Ovis aries: one gene and its partner. Each later gene encodes a partner of the first gene's protein in a complex. Links are inferred from orthologs where the notes say so. Each region holds a gene or a part of one and is shown on either strand. Other genes may lie near its edges.

Region 1 (9,988 bases):
CAAAGATCCTAGTCTTGTACTAGAAATAATTAAAACCTATTTTTTTAAAAAAGCTTAAATATTATGTCATTCCTTCCCATGTCTAGGACTCCTCTGAATTTTTCAAATGTGAAAGCCAATACATGAAGAAAATGACTGTGCATTATTTTACGGAATGCAACAGAGTTTGCTGGAGCATGGAAACCACACATAAAGGATTGTTTCCACAACAAAAAGAATGGAATGTCAGGGTAAGGAGATATATGCCATTCTGAAAAAGAACAAATGTACTTTTCCCCACTTTTCCCAGTAGAGGAATCAAGGGATCATGTAACTCAGCAAAAGTTTCTCATTTCTATTAAAATGTACTTTAGATATTCAACATACACACACAAGGGTATGTATATGAATATCCACATGTGTATTGATCTACAGATCTCAATATATTTATTTATATCTTTGTATATAAATCATGTAGGTTTCCATGATATTAGTAATTTTTCTTGGCCATCAGTTTAACCTCTTGGAACTAAAATTAGTCCTCCCCGCCCCCCCACCAATCCATTTTAGTTTCATTTTTATTTAAGTTTAAAAAACTTGATAGTAAACAAAGTTTTAACTAACAGTCTGCAAAGGAACTCAGCTTCATAGCCACATCATCATTCAAGGGCACACCAAGGGAAAGATGGCTTTGCGGAATGCTTTGTGCAAGGTGCCCCGTTTGGGTCCCCAGGGCCCTGTGCCTCACCTGCAGATGTGGTCTGCAGGGACGTATGCCTCTCACACTTCCACTCGCCACGGCCGTTGCCGGTGCAGATGCATTGGAGCAGGTTCCCCCGGTTGTCCTTCTTGCTCCAGGTATCCCCAATTCTATAGGATGTCCTAGTGTCCTGATCGTTGCATCTGTCTGTGGCAGAAAGGAAGCATTAAAACATGTAAATCAGTTTGAGCTTGGCAAGGGCTTGATGCAAACCTAAAATAACAATAGAGTTGTTTCTAATAAGGACCTAGTGTACAGCACAGGGAACTCCACTCAGTACTCTGTAATAAGTCTGTAATGGTGGTTTAGTCGCTAAGTTGCGTCCAGCTCTTGCGACCCCAAGGACTGTAGCCTGCCAGGCTCTTCTGTCCATGGGATTCTCCAAGCAAGAATAATAGAGGGGACAGCCATACCCTTCTCCAATCTGCCCAAACCAGGAATCGAACCTGCGTCTTCTGCATTGCAGGCAGATTCTTTCGACTGAGCTAAATGATCTAAATAAATGATCTAAAACTGATTCACTTTGCTGTACCCCCCAAACTAACACAATACTGTTAACTATACTCCAAGAAGAAGTTTAAAAAAAGAAAAAGGAGAATACAGTGCTTCATGTTTGGTAAGCTGTTTTTGGATGATACCTTTATATTCAGCTGTGGTGCCATGGGTGGTAAACTTCTGAAAGATGTGATTGCATTTAAAACAGTGTGAAGGAAGCTATACGATGTAGTCTAATTCCACTCATCTATTTGCCAGAATGCCATTTTTCACTCATTAAATTTTCATTTAGTCATTCAGTTCATTAAATTTAAATCTTTCATTCATTATATTTTTTCACATTGTTTATTTGACTAAATTCATCCCCTCGCTTTCTAGTCTTCCCTCTGTATCCTCTGGCTCTCCTGGCTTTGAGTCATGACTGTTCACAACCTGCCTTATCATAAGGGATTTTCTTTAGAAAACTAGAAACAATAGGGAGGCAAGTAGGTCTCATAGGATCTCAACCAACCGCCCCAAAGGAGCTATTAAAAGAAAGCAGCATCTGTTTTTTCATTTGTTATGTAAAACAATTCAAGGCACCACCAACTTCTCTGACTAAAATATTCTCTCCCCTGGTCCCACCCCACCCCCTACCAAACACAAACCTATTTAACATTACTAATAAAATGGCATCTTTTGAATTGCTCATGGTGTTAACTCTTTGATGGGAAAGTGAGATTATTAATATAAAATAATGTTTGTTTAATGTTCATTTAGTCACGTCTGACTCTTGTGACCCTATGGGCTGTAGCCCACTAGGCTCCTCTGTCCATGGGATTAGACAGACAAGAAAATAAAATGATAATTTGTAACTAAATTACCATCAGCCTATGATTATCTGGCAAATAAACTGTTTCAATTATAATCCAGCTTTGCCCATATGCTGCAATGTGATAGAAAGGATTTGATTGGTTTGTGAAACAGAACTACACTGGGTTAGATAAAAAATAATTAGTTGATGTTAAGTTCAGACAAATACAGACACATATTGATCTCCCACCACAGCAGAAGTCTGAATAAAGATAGCATTGCTGGTGACACTTTTTCCCAAATCTCCAACCAAGTGTTGTCTTCCCCTGAACCTCCATAGTACTATTTCAGTATCTGTCTCAAAGTGTTTAATTCTGTGCTTTGTAGAAGATGATATATATAAGCCTTTCTCATCTACTTACTAAGTTCTCTTTGACGAGTTGGCTAATGTCCAGTTCATTTTTGCATCCCTACACCATCCTGAATGAAGTAGGGACTTAAAGAAATTCATGGAAGAAACGACTTTTCTTTGAGAAGCTTTTCCCAACTTGTTATTAGAAGAGCTTTAAATAATAGATAAGAGTTTGAGTAAAACATCTAACTTGTCTTAAACTAAAACACTGCCACCGAGGTCTTGGAAGTCTGATAATCATAATAAAATGTTAAATGTAAGAGAACTGGCAAGATACTCAAAAACATTTAGTTTAAATTGCTATCACTATTTAAAAGAGATTATTTTTTGTTTGAAAGAATTCAAATTTGGATGGTGAACATGATGAGATGGTTAAAACTTCCAGCTAGATAAGACATGTTCAAAATATTTAATTTGATTTTAAACGTATAACACTGATAGTTGATAGCTGTATTGCTTCCACAAACTTTATAGTTTGACACTTCAAAAAAGGAGCATTGAATCCCTAAGGCAAAAAGTAAGGCCTCGGGGCAATCTTAGAAGGAGCTACAGAGATACCAGTGGTTCAGAAACTTTCAAAGTTTAGCTTCTTCACAGCACTTAAAAACCTACAGAGACACTGTCCTTGACTTCAGAATTGGGGTTAAACATAATTTAACCTATGGGATAAGTACCTTTTATTTTCATCAATTTTGCTAATGTTATGTGCCTTACTTAAATGTCAAGCATAGATGGAAACCCAAAACTTTAGAGCTTTGCTCCTCTCTGTGTCAAGAGCACTCATATGCCCAAAGATGCATGTGCCTGTTATTTTAAAGATTTCCTTGCTACTTAGAAAATATCTCAGTGATCACTTAGATGAAACACTGGCAACTCATCTTCAGGTCTTCGATACATTTGGCACTGAAATGAACATCAAGTTTTTTCTCAGTAGCTGATAACCTAAGACCTTACTGAAATAAGCTGTTTTATTTTAATTTAGTCTTCTTTGAAGAAGTAGAATAAGTTGGTTACAAAATTTTTCTTGACATCCAAAGGTTAGGATGTTGATGGAATGGATGTTGTACGTGATATCATACGACAATTCTCTCTAGGAATCCAGAAAACAATGCCTGACTTCATCTTTAACATACAGATCTAAAACGTACTTCTGGAGGTGCAAGTGATACGTCCACTGCCTTCTCCCAGGCAAGTACAGTCCACCATCATCCAGCCCTGATAAGGCTTTTCCCAGGTCTCCCCGACAACGTAGGAAGTACCAGCAGCCTGATCAAAACATTTCTCAGCTGTGGGGAAATTGGAAGGAAAAACAGAAAGAAAAAGAAAGAAGTTATTTCAAACTGTGCTGTCTCCCTGTAATTTAAAGTATATTGTGTAAGCAAAAACCTAACCACATTTTTTTAAGTGGTACTCTGTTCAAATAGAAAGGCACGCCCTGTAACTAAGCACAGAGCAAGTAACCAAAGTGAAAGGAAGCTCTAGCCAAGTTGGCAGGCAGAAATTCTGTTCTCCTAACAAGTACACGGGTTGTACATCTTCAGCTAGCACCGTTCCTCACACCAGTATTTTGAGCAAAAAGGATCTATGTGCCTCCTGTGGATCTATGAATCTCTTGCATAGTGAGACTAAATATGCAAAATTCCAATCTTAATTAAAAATGACCAATTATGAATGCCTGCATAAAATGACAAGAAAGCTATTTAAAATCTGGATTTCTGTAAAAATAGAGGCAACACAAAGAAAATTAAAACCTCTGTATTAGAGATCAATCAGAATAAAATTTATAGCCAGAAACTCTTAGATTTCTATCTAGAGTTCAGCTAAACATTGACACCAAAGGAAACAGCAATTTTTGACAAAAAATGAGCAAGAGATGATAGAACACACACCACATACAAACACGAGGTGTTTCTATCTGCCGCGTTCCAATAAAGAAAGATGTTAAAAGTCTCATTTTTTTTTCCTTTAAAAAACTTACATCTTGACCAAGGAGAAATCTGAGAACAGATCTTAGAGAAAACAAATGACTTCTTCCTAAATCTTTCAACTCTATCTTAAGCTTTGAAAAAAAATTAAGACTTCTATTGATACGTGTATAGTCAGTCATGGCCGACTTTTTGCCAGCCCATGCACTGTATGCAGTCTACCAGCATTCTCTGTTTCCAGAATTTTCCAGGCAAGGATAATGGATACTGTTTGAATTGCCGTTTCCTACTTCCAGATCCAGGAACGGAACCCAGATCTCTTGCATCTCCTACACTGTCATGCGGATTCTTTACCAGGGCGCCACCTGGGAATCCCTAAGACTTCTATACATGGTCGGGAATTTGAACCGATTCCTTAAAGAAGACTATGGATTACACAACATTTCATTATTTTAAATAGAATTCTCAGTCTCTTATCTTTTTTATTGGAAGACAGGTATCTTGTCATGTCAATTTTGACTCAACCCAACATTTTGACTGTGTATCCCACCCCCATTTATCCCCAAGTCACACACCTATGGGCTTGCAGGTCCATTCTCCTTTCCCATTACCCAGACACACACACTCTAACATGTAACCACCAGTCTCGTGTGGTCTCCTCCAGGTGTCACCAATCTTGTAGGACTGCCCCCCTTCATGGCAGCGGTCTGTTCAAGATAAAAAGCAAATGTTACAGACAGTGGGACAGAAAATAGTTTTAAAGCAGAAAAAGTCTCATATTCCAACCCCTTTGGCTGGCCAAAGAGAGCAGCTTTCCCATCGGGGACAGGGGAAAAGTTAACAGGTCTGGTCATTTGGGGTCCTTCAGTTGAATGTCTGGTTTAAGCACAATGGGAAACCACAGAGGAAATCTGAATAGCAAAGAAAGGAGTCATAAATCCTGGATCCCCAGAGAGATCACAGGAAATTGAGTTCTAAAGCAGAAAAGAAAGGCTGCCAGGCATGGCCTCCACACACACATAGTGGGTTTAGCTGAGACTAATTCAATGCAAAAGGCACACTAGACCTAGAATTCCAGCTTTCAGGATGTGGAGAGTCCGTACTTCACCCTAGGATAGAAATGTCTTTTTGATGGAAAGCAAATAGATGTATACATCGCAAGTGTGGAAATCTGGTTAAACACAAGGGCACATACAAAGGTTAAACTGTCCACTGTGTAAACAGTATGTAAACACTATAGAACACTGACTCTTAACATATACCGATAATCTTGGATAAATTCTAACATTAAATATAGGACAGGCTGATTGGGCTTATTCACAAGAGACTGATTTGTCTTTTCCAGAAGGCTGTACATCATGCTTTTTGGCCGGGTGCCACTTACTTCCCTGACCAGAGATTGAACCTCCACCCCTGCAGTGGAAGCTCAGAGTCTTTACCACTAGACCGCCAGGGAAGTCTGATTTGTCTTTTAGACTGAGCCTTTAAGAGACTTATACAACGATGGATTAAAAAACACTAAGTGCTGTGTTAATAGAAGCTATTGGTAACCCAATGAATCATACTGGAAAGTTTGACTTAGCTAAACTAGAATTGCTGAGAGTAAGTCCAGATCCCTAAGTACCTTGGAAAATTCATTCCACATTATTCCTAGGAATAGAGAGCTCTGCTTCCTGGTTATAAACTACTGGTTACAAAGAAACCAGACTGTTTCTGTGAGATCCAAGCAGTGTGTACATTGCTAACAAGACTAGCAGAGCACACAACGGCTAATTCATTCTTCGTGACCATCTTTCCGATCACTGCGGATCACCACATGAGCAATCTGGCTTGAAGATGCCCAGATAACATAAAATGGGCAACTCCTCTAAGAATGGGATGGAACCCAAGAGATTTGCTTGGTTAGGCTACGGACATATGTGTACACACACACACACACACACACACACACACACACTCTCTCTCTCTCATAAATGCAAACAGACTGAACACTGCCTCCATCTGTGCTCAGAGCCACCTTTCAGAGGCACAGGAATCAGCTGTGTGGCCATAGAAGGGTGTCTGCTCACCTGGGATAAATCCCCACACTAGGAATATCCAGTCATGGATAACAGAAAATGACAGAGATGGGAATGGAAAAGTTCACACTGTGTTATCTCAGCGTTCCTGGACAGAGGCCGTTCTTACTTGCAATGGTGCAGCTTATTCTCCCTCGCCCAGCCCCGATGCAGGTACAGTCCCAGATCATGGAGTCCTTCGGGCGCTCGTAAGTGTCGCCCACCCGGTAGGTGTTCCCAGTGTACTTGTCAAAGCAAGTCTCTTCAGCTGAGGGAAGAAGGAAAGTCCATGTGAACCTTATATAGGGAAAAACTTTTCTATTCCACTACTCTCATCCAAGGGAAAACCTACTTTTCTATTCTGTGAGTAGCAAGGGACAAGTGGAAAGTTTTTAAAACCTGAAGTAGCAGATCTCAATTTTACCCTAGGGTCTAACAAAGCCTCAGTTTTCAACCTTTGACAAGTTTTCTAATTTTCTGGTGATGAATTTCCATTGGAAAGGATTCTCAGGCGCTTAGGAAAAAAGCTATAAAGCACAACCTTAGAACCAGCTAGATTGTGAAGGAAGGACTTTAGATTCCTCTCTCTGGCTCAGAAAATCAAACCAAGGTCCACTTAAAAATAAACAGTCTGAAGAGCTCCCACCCCCACCCCAGCACTGGCCCTTGTTAATCCTACTATTTCCATTTTAGCCTCATCAGTGGTTCTGCAGGAGTTGCCATAATTTATAAGAAATAGATCAAGGGTCATAAAGGAATGAGAACTTTGAAGTGGTCAGTGGTTTTACGTTGAAATGCAGCTGACAAATCGTTTGACAATGTACTGCCCAAAGTGCTTTCTGCCCCATACTCTTACAGTCTAAGATTTGGAATTACTTTCTAATAAATTAGAATTTTATAAGCAATTCTTTCTTTTTGAAGGGAAAAAGAACACATATCATTCATGTTTTGGGAAAGTAAAACAGAAAGAAGACCCTAGAAACTACTTTGGGATATATTTGTTATTTTGTTTGAAAAGTAAAAAGAACAATATAATTTGAAAAGCAAATATAAACAGTTATTAAACATTGTTAAAGATAATTTTATTAGGGAAATGAGATATATAATTTTACTACTAATCCTAAATTTAATCAACAAGCACTACTTCTCTATCTATTAGATTCTAATAACTATAATAATTAGAAGATACTAAGAACTAGGCAGGCTCCCCATCACTTACGTTCAGGCTTGCTCTCACAATTAAAGCCCCGGCTCCCTCCATAACAGGTACAGACCAAGGCACTGCCCAGGTAGGTGCGCTCCCACTGTTGGTTTATCTGATAGTGCTTTCCATTGTCATAACAACCAGCTGTAAGAAATGAAGAAAAAAGTCATTAAATTTGGATCCTTCCTTTTTCCAAAGTATGGAATTTTCTTGCACAACTAAACTGATAAGCCTAAGCAACAAACGAAGGGGGAAAAAGTTAATCATCAAAGCATCAGAAGAATTAAAAGCAACTAGATATCTAACGAGTTAACCACACATTTGTACATGTAGATATTTAGGTATTCCTTTTGTTTTTCTTTTGACTTTAGTTAAATGTTATACAATGATGTCATTTCCATCTGGCCAGGGGTCTGCACCACAGGAATGGAAACATTCTGAAAAGCAGATAACTGGGAATCACGTTTTAAAACGTGCAAGGAATTTCAGCGCTCTTTGGGGGTAATAAGTCAAGAAGGGTAATGCTAAGCAGTTTCCATTAGCCAAGGAAAAGGGAGGGTGTGTCTTCGAGAAACTGGAAGAGGAATTCCAATCTCTGTTCTTGGAGAAGCATCCTGAGAAAGCATTTTGAAGCAATTACATCTCATTCAAAGTTGGAACAGCATAATCATTCAGCTACTCTCCCCTCATCCCCATTTTGACAGTATTTAACCGATTACTTAGTAACAAAGAAAATAAGCGTAAGGACCACACTAATCCCAAAAATAAAAGTTTAAAGGGGTGCATCATTTTTCTCTTTAAAGACGAGTTCTGGTTAATTCAAAGGAGGATGACATGAGTCGGTACCAGCCCTGCTGGACATCGCTGAGCTCCGCCTTCCAACGCCTTATCTTACCTAAGCCCACAAAACCAGCTTGCTCAAAGCCAGTCTTTTATGTCCCCCTCTCATGTAGGAGTACACACACTCCACGCGCGCGCGCGCACAAAACTTCAGTCACAACTTTGGTTGGCTTTCTGGCCCGGTCCTGAGGCAGCCTGTTCCAGCCCACGGTCAGTACTCACGTTTGCTCTGACTGACAGTCAGCGGGGACTGGGGCTGAACGATCTGCTGCGCCTGTCTCCTGCTCTTCGAGGCTCCCGCGGAGGGTACCGCTGTCCCCAGGGACAGGACGGCCAGCAGCAGCAGCAGCCCGGGCCCCGGACCCCCGAGCATCTTGAGACGGTGAGGCAACTTGCCACTTAAGTTTGGCTCCCTTCGCAACCTGCGGGCGGAGTCCCCTTCCAGTACCGCCTGGAGAGTCAGGGCTGGAGGATGGGGAAAGGGAAGGGTAGAGGACGGAGGGAAGGAGAGGACGAAAGAAGCTGTGGCTGCAGGTCCCCTCGCCCCCGCTCGCGATTAGGGGTCCCCCTCTTCCCCGTGCAAAGCGCAGCCGGCGCGAGCGGCCGAGCCCAGAGAACCAGGGTTTATATGGGACGGTCCCTTCCCGCCCCCCGCGAGGCCCCGGGCACCGGGGAGGAGGGACCGGCCGGACCCCCTCCCACCCTCCTCCGGCCGCAGCCGCCGCCGACCGCGCGCCCATTGGCCCGGGCTCCGGGTGACGTCAGGGGAACTGTGGGTTCGCCTTGAACAAAAGAGATGCTGATCGCCCGCCAGGATTGGGACAAGAGAACTTTTTTCGGTTTCCTTTGCGGTCGTCAAACTTTTGGGGGGCAGAAGGGGAGGGATGGGAAGCGTCTGGAAATGGGTAGACTGGGAGGAAAGGGAGGGGCTGGAGTGCCGTGTAGCCAAGGGGTCGCAAGTCCATCCTCCCTCCCCACCCCCGCTTCCCTTTTTAAATATTTTATTGGGGTGAGGCGGAGGGGGGGAGAGTTCAGATTGCGTCACCGATGGGGGTGGGGGGAAGAAACCTCCGCTCACTGGAGTGTACTTCGACGGGGAGGAAAAACCATAAAGTAGCCACCACCTTGCAGCGGTAGGAATGTAGACTGCCGTCCCGGGGAGCGGCTGGCTTTCCTGCGGTTCCCTCTCTTGGGTCTGTGCAATGACTGGGGACTCACTTTGCCTTCACAGCTTCCTGTTCAAGTCTTCTGCCTTTCTAAACGCAGTACCTGCTGGTTCTGAGGACGTTTTAACTGAGGGTAGGGGGTGGGAAGGGAGGAAGGCGACGGAGGGCGGAAGGGAGAAAGGATCCCTTTAATGAGCTTCTACTAAGTACCAGGAATTCCGCGGGGCGGATCTAGACGGAAACTCGGTGAACGAGGTTTCGTTGGAAAGGACAGAGCAGCCGTTTGCTTCCCGCCCCCGCCCCCCACCCCGCCCAAATATGCAAGAAAGTCTTCTTGTCCTGGGGATGGGATGCCTGA
Region 2 (9,537 bases), on another chromosome or scaffold:
AGGGCCAGTACTTACAGCAGGGCCAGGGGCTCCAGGGCGACCTCTCTCACCAGGCAGACCACGGGGGCCCTGGTAACAAAACCAAGAGAAGCCAAGTGAGATGGAAGACACCCCCTTCTCCCCAAGCCCCCATCTTGCTCCTACAGCCTGCTCCCTCCCTTCCTTCCAGAACTGGACACACTCACCATCTGACCAGGAGCTCCATTTTCACCAGGGCTACCAGGCTCACCCTACAGAGCAGAGAATGGAGTAAGGAATCTGTTCTAGGTGGGACTGTGGAGGAGGTGAATGACCGTGTCCGTCACACAGCATCTTACCTTGGGGCCAGCAGGACCAGCATCTCCCTTGGCACCATCCAAACCACTGAAACCCTAAGATAGGAGGGAGGGCCAGCGTGAGACCCTGTGGAGACTGTCGACCACCCTGACACTTGCTCAGCCCAGAGAAGGAGCCTCAGGAGGTCATCACATCTATCCCCCTGTGTTTGAGCTAGACTAAACCCCAACTGATCCAAGATCTCCCTCCCTCCCTTTATTGGGATTTCTTTCCCAACGAAGGGAAGTTCTCTTGGACATTTACTCTCTGTCCCTTGGAACTTCTTATGTAGCTACCACCCACCGTGATGCATGCCAGGGTCCTCTGGGGAAAGGACTAGAACATGACACTGGGACTTTGGGAACTTAGATGATACAAAGGAGACTCACTCTGTGTCCCTTCATTCCAGGGAGGCCAGCTGTTCCAGGCAATCCCCGAGCACCCTGGAGAGGAACGCAAAAGACAAAGGCAGAGCCATTAGGAGACTCCACTGTGGACACAGCTCCCAGAGGAAGCCCCAGTGCAGCAAGGCCTGAGGCAGCCACACCATCCTGCTCACCTGAGGTCCGGGAGGCCCGCGCTCACCAGGACGACCAGGCTTTCCAGCTTCACCCTGAGAGAAAAAGAAAAGGCCATCATGCCCATGCCCCCAGAGTTGGAAAAGAATGGGAGGCTTGGGTTTTCTTGGGATTGTTGAGAGTCAGGCTTCGGGACCCCAAATCCTATCTCAGTTTAAATGTACTGTGAAACACTCGCTTGGTGAATTTTGCCTCCCTCCAAAGAATTTCTGTTTATTTCTGTCACCAGCATCTTAATCTCACCACATGGAGTGAAAACCTGAGGTTACACCTAGGGAAGCCGCTCATGTCAAGGATAGAGTTGGAGACTACTTAAGGTGACTGAGTTGAGGGGAGGGACAGCTACGTCTGTTAGGAAGACGGGGAAACATCCCAGGTAGCTCCCTATTCAAGGGCAGTCCCGTACGTCAGGGAGAACATGTCCGTCTTTCTCTGGGTGTCACTCCCAAAGGTGGTGGAGGAACTAGGGTAGAGATTGCAGGAGCCCACACATGGACAGGTGGTGGGGGTCAGATGGTGTCTCCTCACCAGGGCTACTTACATCATCTCCGTTCTTGCCAGGGGGGCCAGGGGGACCACGGGGACCCATGGGACCCTAGAGGTGACGGGAAGAGAGGATGTTAGAATGACCAGGATAAGGAGAAAAGAAGGGGAAGGCTAGGATTGGAAGAAGGAGGTAACAAAGACTCCAGATGGTGGTCCTTCAATAGGAGAATCCATATATTTGTAGAGGGGGTGTATATTTGCATAGAGAATGCAAATCAGGGGTCACTTACTGAGGCTCCAGGCTCGCCAGGCTCACCAGGGGGGCCTTGGAAACCTTGGGGACCCTGGAGGACAAGAAGAGAGGGGTAGGGTTAGAAGGACAGGTCCTTGCCAACATGTCCTCCATCTCATCAAGAGATCTCTGAGTACTTTCCTTGCCCTCATGCCAATCCTCCCTCTAAAGCCCAAAGGGGTGTAGACATCCTGGATACTCACAGGTGCGCCAGGGGGGCCAGGGAGACCACGAGGACCAGAAGGACCCTATGGAAGGAAAAGACAGAGAGGCCAGAGTGAAGCCTCGGTAGGAAAATTTATCTCCCATGGTTCCTGTTCGGCCCACCCACCTGCCTCATGTTCTGTCTGGATTCTGAGGTCCCAAAAGTCATCTTGACCTCCCAAGTTATCTAAGTCACCCTATGCGCCTTCACTGGCCCGTCTGCTCTTTTTCTGCCCTCTACATCGTCTGCTGATGTCTCACCATGGGACCAGGCACGGAAATTCCTGTTGATTTCTCATCATAGCCGTAAGACAACTGGGGAGCAAAGTTCTGGAAGAGAGAGTGCATGAGAAAACAGGGTCAGGGCAGTGAGTTGAAAGGCAGAAGATATCACCAGTTATGGGACAGATATCACATTCTCTATGCAGTACAGCTACACGACCTGTGGCACAGTCTTGCCCAAAACGTATCATTGGAATCTAATCAGGAAGACACACCCAACAAACCCAATTTAAGAGACAGTCTACAAAACAACTGGCTTTTGCAAAACAGTTCAGTGTCATGAAAGACAAGGAAAGCCTGAGGAATGTTCCAGGTGAAAGGAAACTGAAGAGACATGATAATTAAAATGTGATTCATAATCCTGGACTGGATCTTGAACCAGGGGGGACAAATGGTGTAAAGGACATTATGGAGAACACTGGTGAGGTTTGAATATGGACTGCATATTAGATAACAGTATCACATCAACGTTAAATTTCTAAAATGTACTCATTATGTAATGCTCATGTAAGAGAATGTTTTAGCTCTTAGAAAATACACAGTAAAGTATTTAGGAGCAAAGGGACACAATACCAGCAAATTACTCTCAGATGGTTCAGAGAAAACCCCCCCAATAATTTTACATGTACATGGAGACTGATAAAGCAAATGTAACAAATTGTGAACGATATAGGAAAGTTTCTTTGCATTATTCTTGCAACTCTTCTCCCCCTCTTCCCCTATGAGTTTGACATTATTTCAAAAAAACAAAGTATGCCATCTGCCAAAACAAAACAAAACCCAGCAAACGAAAACAGCGGCGGGAGCGGGAGTGGGGGGGTGGGGGGGGGGGGGGGCAGGGCTGGCTCCTAAGGCCTTCCACAGAAGCCTCGACTCTCCACTTACTCCTCCGAGGCCAGGGGGTCCGGGAGGTCCGGGGGGTCCAGGGGGTCCAGGAAGTCCAGGTTGTCCAGGGATGCCATCTCGGCCAGGGGGGCCGGCGGGTCCCTGCGGCGGGAAAGGGCAGGCCTGGTGAGCGCAGGCCGGGAGCCATGCCCACTCACCTCCCCCGACAGCCGCGAGAGGGCGCCGCTTACCCTTGGGCCTCGGGGGCCAGTGTCTCCTTTGGGTCCCTGTGGGGTTGCAGGAGAGGAAACAAAAGGAACCGGGTTAGAGACGACCCGTGAAGAGTCCTGGGGGGCGGGGTGTGGCTAGAGTCGACGGCAAAGGGGCAGAGGATTACCTCGACTCCAGTGGTTTCTTGGTCCGTGGTTGATTCTGGGGGGGGTGGGGAGAGACAGGACTTAGAGGCAAGGTTTGCTCCAGGTGCTCCCAGAGACAGAGGCCTCCCCTGACAGGGGCTAAGGAGCGTCCCCGCTTATATCCCCCAGCCCCCGCCCGCCCCGGCCCAGGCCCCGAGCTATACCCTGGCCTTCGGGGCAGACGGGGCAGCATTCGTCCGTGGGGACTTTGGCGTTAGGACAGTCCTTAAGTTCGTCGCAGATCACGTCATCGCACAGCACGTTGCCGTTGTCGCAGACGCAGATCTGGCAGGGCACGGGTTTCCACACGTCTCGGTCATGGTACCTGAGGCCGTTCTGTACGCAGGTGACTGGTGGGACTGGGGCAAGACGGGGAGATGGGGGCTGTCAGCGGCGCGCGAGTCCCTCACCTCGGGGCTCCAGGCACCCCAACCCCACCGTCCCTTCCCTTCGGTCTTAGAGGCACATTTAGATTTTCCATTTCCCGCCTTTCCATTTTTTGTCCTTTTGTTTTTCCTTTCCCCAAATCCTTAAACGCTCATCTGCTCCTCATCAGAGCCAGTGACAGCGCCGAGGCGCCTGGCCAGGACAGCTATAACTCTTTCCAGTTCTCAGGAATTTAAACAAAGCTTTAGGCCGGGGTCGCTTCCAACTGTAACCTCAGCCCATTGGCGCTGAAGCCAAGTGAAATAAAAAGCCATTGGGTGGGGGTGGGGGCGGGGACGGGGGATGGAGGAGTGGGAAGAGAGGCGCCCCATCCCGAGGGCAGGCTTGCGGGGCGTGACCTTGGTTGGAGACCTCAGAGGAAAATGGGAGGAGAGATGGGAGGTTCAACCCAGATTCCGCCCCATTCCCGGGGCAGGTGGGATGGCGTGGGCGGGGCTAAGAGGATGGGGTGGGGCTGATTGGCGTGGGATCCCGCCCAGAGACCTGAAACGTACGGTAAAAATAGGGTACGCCCCGACTCCGGCGCCCAGACATCTCAAAAGGCCTAGCTCAGGGACAACCCCCGTCTCCCAAAGCCAGCCGGTGCTCCGGGTCACTTCTTAGTCAAAGAACCAGAAAGTCCGCAACAGTAAGTGGTTAGTTAACCACGCCCACCGCAATCTTCTACCGAGACGGCCACTAGGGCGACACTAAGCAATTTCCCCAAACTAGCTATTTCTTTTAGAGACAGGGGCTATCCCATCTCCAGCTTTATTTTCCAGATCTAGAGGTGGGGTCCACACCCAGCAACCATCCCGGTCTTCCCGCTCCAGCTCCTGCGCGGGGAAGCGCTGGATAAGGACGCGCACTGCCCAGTGTAGATCAGCAGAGGGCGCAAAGACCCTGCGTGGCCAAGTCCGCGCCAAAGTTTCTCATCATTCAACCCGCCCACTCTCTGCGCCCCCTCCCCCCTCAGTCCAAGACCTCCGCGGCCCCAGGAACACTGCTAGCCCGCAGAGAGGGCCAACAGTCTTTCCTGATGAATCATCCCATAGCCTTCCTGATCACTGTTACATCTTGGACTCCAATTTCCCAACTCGGCGCCTCCATCCCATCTTCGACGTACTTTCCCCCAAACCGGTGCCCAGACCCTATTTCTCCCGCTGTACTTCACAGTGCGCGCTCAGAACTCCTCCTACGCCAATTCTTGCCGTGCAGCATCCTCCCCTCTTACTCCTGGGGGGCCTTCATCAACACCCCGTCGCAGAGAGGGCACCGACCAAGAGCCCTCACCATCTTCCTTCCATCCCTGAGCCTCCGGAGCATCCCGAGCCTCAGTTTAAGTCGCAGACCCCAGGGACCGAGCGCAGGGCAGGAGAGCAAGCAGCCCTACACTCCCAAGAGTTTGGGACTTACTGTCTTCTTCTTGGCCTTCTTCCTGGCCCTCCTCTTGGCCGTGCGTCAGGAGGGCGGTGGCCGCTAAGAGGAGCAGGAGCCGGAGGTCCACAAAGCTGAACATGTCTAGACCCTAGACATGTAGACTCTTTGCGGCTGGGGTGGGGGTTAGCGTCCGCTCATGCGTGGCCTCACACTCCGCGTGCCTCCTGCTCCGACCCCGAGGAGAAACTCCCGTCTGCTCCGACCACCGGCCCGGGCCCCTTTTATACCATCCTGATGGAGAGCGGGGAGGAACCCTGCCCCCGGGAGAGGGGGAGCCGGCTGCCCGTCCCCCAGCCAATCAGAGTTGCCTGGCCCGGCCCCCAATTTGGGAGTCGGAACCGAGAGGGGGAGGAGGAGGGAAGGGAAGGAAAGGGAGTCCACCGCACATCTCCCCCCTTCGCAGCTCTGCCTCCCCAGCCCCCCAGTTCAGTCTGGGCCAGAGATGCTGCCGCTGGGGTGCGGCTAGGTCCTCCACATACTGTCGGCTAAATAGTGGGTAGGGGCGCCTCTTCGGCTTTCTTTCTAGGACCCCCAGTCTCAAGCAGGGGGCTGGAATTGGGGAGCTGGTTAGGGAGGCTTTCAAAGATGGAAGGACTCGGGGTAATTGGGAGAGGGTCCTGCTCGCCCTGCCTTGTTCGCCCTCTGACACCCAGAGCAAGAGCTCCGGGATGGGTATGGAGAGGCAGCTGGGGACCACTTTAAAGCAGGAGAACCAGAGAATTTAAAAAGATGTGCCTGTTTTGGGGTGTCTTCTGGTGTGGCTGGGGTATGGAACTTAGGAATATTTGGGGAACAAGATAGATTCATTTATAGACATTAAGAATCAGATCCTTAGGGTGGGTTTTTGTTTTGACGATATCAGTTCTGCCATGCCTGAGGCTCCAGGATAGACTCAAATGCTCTCCCCTAAACCCTAGCATGATTGAAAGAGTTGGGGTGAGGGAGGTTGCTGAGGCACTGGGTGAAAAATTTGAGTATGCAGTCTCTCCAGAAGGAAGCTTTGGTATTGAGTGATGGGGCAGCAGGGTGGTGGTGGAAAATTGCTAGGATTTTTCCACCCCAGGGGCAGTAAGTTTGCACGGAAGGGCCGTGGCCACTGGTGACTTAAGAAAGGGTCTTGTGTTAGGGTCTGTCGCGGCCATGGCCACGGCCTGTTTAGACACCCTTCTACCCAGCACAGTCAAACTGGAGAGAACTGTATTGGAGAGCACTTGACAAGAGAGAGGGTGCTCCTTCCGGAGGCCACATAAAGCTCTGTCTCTGTCTGTACCTGGATTCAGGGTTGGGGACACATGAGAATTGGGGTGTCTGGGGGAAGACTTGCCTTGGAGGTCTGAGGTGGAATTACAGGTGAGTGACATTATTTTAGAGGACGTTCCTCTCTGCCTCACCTCTTTCCTGGAAACCCAGGGCATCACTCTTTGTCCCTGGAACCAGGAGAGAATCATCTACACTCTGAAAAGCGATGGAGACCCCAAGAACAACAGGCTATATTAGGAGATGACTCTAGAAGCCAGCGTCCTGCCTTCTCTATGTCCCAACCTCCCACCAGTACTCTACCCCAACTCCAATCTATCCAGGTTCCTGATCCTGCCAAAATCTGTGGGCCCAAGGGAAGTCAAAGAGGGTCGCTTTGCAGTGCCCTGTCAACTCCAATCCCTCCTGTGCGGCTCCCCACCCCCATCACTCCAGAGCTGCAAACGTGGAAGCGGGGAGTCCCGCCTCCCCCAAACCATCCAAGATTCCATTGCCTCCCCCCTCCCCGCCCCTCTCCACGCCCTCCCCCAGCTGGTTTTGTGCAACGAAGGCAAAGGAAAAAAAAGACCAAGAGAACAGAAGGGGAGGGAGCCACGTCGGCTGGCCGGCTGGCCGTGGGCAGCCAGGATGAGCGGTGCGGGTGGGGCCGCAGAGGGAGACTGCAGGGGCTATAATTAAAGGGAAAATATAGAGTTTCCAGAGAGGCAGGGCTGGAGACAGCAATGGAGGGATGGGCCTTCATCAATTATCCCCACCATGTGGCAGCGACTTGTGGCCCAGGATCTGCCCCCATCGTGCCAGCTAGTGCAGGGCAGGGCTGGGGGCTGAGGTGCTGAGATGGCAGTTCCTGCCCCCTCCAGCGTGGCTCAGGGACAAGGAGCACCCCCTCCCTAACAGGAGAAATGAGGAGTCCTGCCCCTCAGAGTAGTCACCCCTCTGGAGTGGCTGTTTGGGGAGGAGAGTTACAGGCTAGAAGTGAGGGTTGCTGTGACCTTCCACCTCCCTGCTTGCTGAGTTTTTGCAGCCAGAGGACTCCTACCTACAGTTCTCTCTCCTCTAGGTCCCTGTTCAGGCTGGCCCTCGACCACCTTACAGGAGAGATGAAGACTTAGAGATGTAGGTTGGGAGTTGCTACATCACGAGCCTGGGGTTCTGAAGAATATTTAGGGAACCTTGGTATTGGGGGTTGGTTTTGTGAGTATGGTGTGTGACAGCCGCTGCTCCAATGTCCAGTTTCAGACCTCCATCCCAGGGGCTGTAGGCAGAAGTTTCCCAAGCATCCTTTACACGTGGCAGAGAGCTGAGGCCCAGGGCCTCCTCTGCCACTTTTCAGCTTGAAACGCTGCTTGGCAGGTGCCCAGCCCGAAGATGTGTCTCTAATTTCTGCAGCATGACAATGAGAGGAAGAATGTGCTTGGGGTCTCCTCCCAGACTGCCTGGGCCTCCTTGGCCAGAACTGAGGGCTTGAGACTTGTGGGTGGGGGGGAGGAAAGAGGGAGGGAGCTGAGGCCGGAGAGGGGAGGAGACGCCACCTCATCTTTAGGAAACTCTGAAGCTCTGGCTTCTTGTGGAATGTAAGACTTTGTCTGGCATTTGGAGTGGGGGGAGCAAAAGCCAAAATCTCCTCCCCCCCCGACCCCTTAGAAATGGTAAAGTCATCAGCAGTCAGGGAAAAAAATTCCTCAAGAAGAAAAACAGAAGGAAGAAAGTGCTGAGCTCTGAGTTCGCTCCCTTTCCAAATTTCCTCAAGTGCCCTTCCTCAGTGTGCTTGCGCTCCCCGCTCTCCGTCCTCCTGAGGAGCCCCTCAAGCCCTGCTCTGGACTGCTGGTGTGGGGTAAAACAGCAAAGCAGCCCGGGGGCTGGTGCACCTGGTGGGCAGTTTGGTCAGCCCTTTCTAGCTACCTGGTGTCCTGCTGAGGTTTTGCTGCCCTCCTTCCCTGATCTGACCTTCCAGAATCCTCTTCTGCCCCAGACTGGTGATGAAGAGAGGGTCCCTGGCAAAGGGGTTGAGGACAGAGGAAGGGAAGAGGTCTAAGAGTGAGGCTGCAGTGAAGACCTTGGGCTCTGTGTTTTCCCATCATGGGTTCCCATCATGTTCCCAACAGGGTTCCTGTTGAGGATCCCTGCAGTCAGAGTCTGGGAACAGATCCCAGGAGTGGAGGAGTCTCTCTTCTTCCCTTTCTTCAGCATCATACTGTCTGGTTCCTTTGGTCCTTAGCAACCAGGCACAGCACAGCTCCGCTCTTTCCATGCCTCAGCCTCAACCCAAGTCCCTTGGTCTGAGGTTTCCTTTCATCTCTTCATCTTTTCCAGGTTTAGAGGGAAGATAATGGATTAAGTTTGTCCATGCTGAGTGTTAGGTACCTATGAGGCATTCAGTCAGCTGCACGGAGGGAAGCCTTTAGTATCTGAGTCTAGAATCTAGAGGAGAGACAAATGTGGGATCCCGCCTCCACTGGGTGATGATGTGGAAGGAGCTGTTTCCAGAGAAAGTATGGAAGGAGGAGAGATTCAGGGCTCAGATGGAGCCTTGAAGATTCTAAGGGTTCAGGGTCGGGAAGGGGAGGAGGGGCCTGCACGGGAGACACAACAGGAGTGGGAGAAGTAAGAGGGCAAGAAGGAAGATCAAGGGCGTCATGTATGCAGGGGGAAGAGTGTTCTAGGAGAGTTATATGTTGCAGAGAGAATTAGCATGATAGGGAGCAAAATGGTCACTGGATTAAGCAGCATAGCAGTGATTGGTGCCCAAAGTGCAAGCTGTTTGGGTGGAGTGATGGGTGAGGAAGCCAGACTGGAGTGGGCTGAGGAGTGAGTGGGAGGCCAGGAAATGGGGTCAGAGTGAGACAACTCAGAGGAGGAGTTTAGCTCTTAAGGGGAGCAGAGCATGTAGATGCTTCTTCCTGCCACCTACCCTCCTTCCTTCTCTCTTCTTTTCTTACACCTCCACCCCACTCCTGTCCATCTTTTTGTCCCCAGCCTTCCCCTTCCTTCTTGTGGAACTCTGCTTCTTTCTCTA

The links. Proteins that work in one complex are often made in the same cells at the same time.
Region 2: the proteins of FN1 (region 1) and COL1A1 are in contact, whole or in part, in a crystal structure (PDB 3GXE), measured with the Homo sapiens proteins. The link is inferred for Ovis aries from reciprocal best matches to the Homo sapiens genes FN1 and COL1A1. Residues at the interface, in NP_997647.2 of Homo sapiens: Asp516, Gln517, Lys533, His535, Glu537, His539, Leu541, Gly549, Arg550, Gly551, Arg552, Trp553, Lys554, Cys555, Pro557, Gln560, Phe569; in NP_000079.2 of Homo sapiens: Leu261, Pro262, Gly263, Met264, Lys265, Gly266, His267, Arg268.

What each region holds. Positions count from the first base shown.
Region 1 is NC_056055.1:217,390,703-217,400,690, forward strand, and holds the start of FN1 (fibronectin), read right to left. Parts: upstream 9,066-9,988; 5' UTR 8,838-9,065; coding exon 8,687-8,837; intron 7,769-8,686; coding exon 7,640-7,768; intron 6,689-7,639; coding exon 6,551-6,688; intron 5,071-6,550; coding exon 4,939-5,070; intron 3,725-4,938; coding exon 3,587-3,724; intron 887-3,586; coding exon 728-886; intron 1-727. UniProt on the Homo sapiens protein: Fibronectins bind cell surfaces and various compounds including collagen, fibrin, heparin, DNA, and actin. Fibronectins are involved in cell adhesion, cell motility, opsonization, wound healing, and maintenance of cell shape.
Region 2 is NC_056064.1:36,187,040-36,196,576, reverse strand, and holds the start of COL1A1 (collagen alpha-1(I) chain), read right to left. Parts: upstream 5,460-9,537; 5' UTR 5,344-5,459; coding exon 5,241-5,343; intron 3,758-5,240; coding exon 3,563-3,757; intron 3,415-3,562; coding exon 3,380-3,414; intron 3,270-3,379; coding exon 3,234-3,269; intron 3,145-3,233; coding exon 3,043-3,144; intron 2,206-3,042; coding exon 2,137-2,205; intron 1,920-2,136; coding exon 1,875-1,919; intron 1,724-1,874; coding exon 1,670-1,723; intron 1,489-1,669; coding exon 1,435-1,488; intron 929-1,434; coding exon 875-928; intron 759-874; coding exon 705-758; intron 372-704; coding exon 318-371; intron 231-317; coding exon 186-230; intron 70-185; coding exon 16-69; intron 1-15. UniProt on the Homo sapiens protein: Type I collagen is a member of group I collagen (fibrillar forming collagen).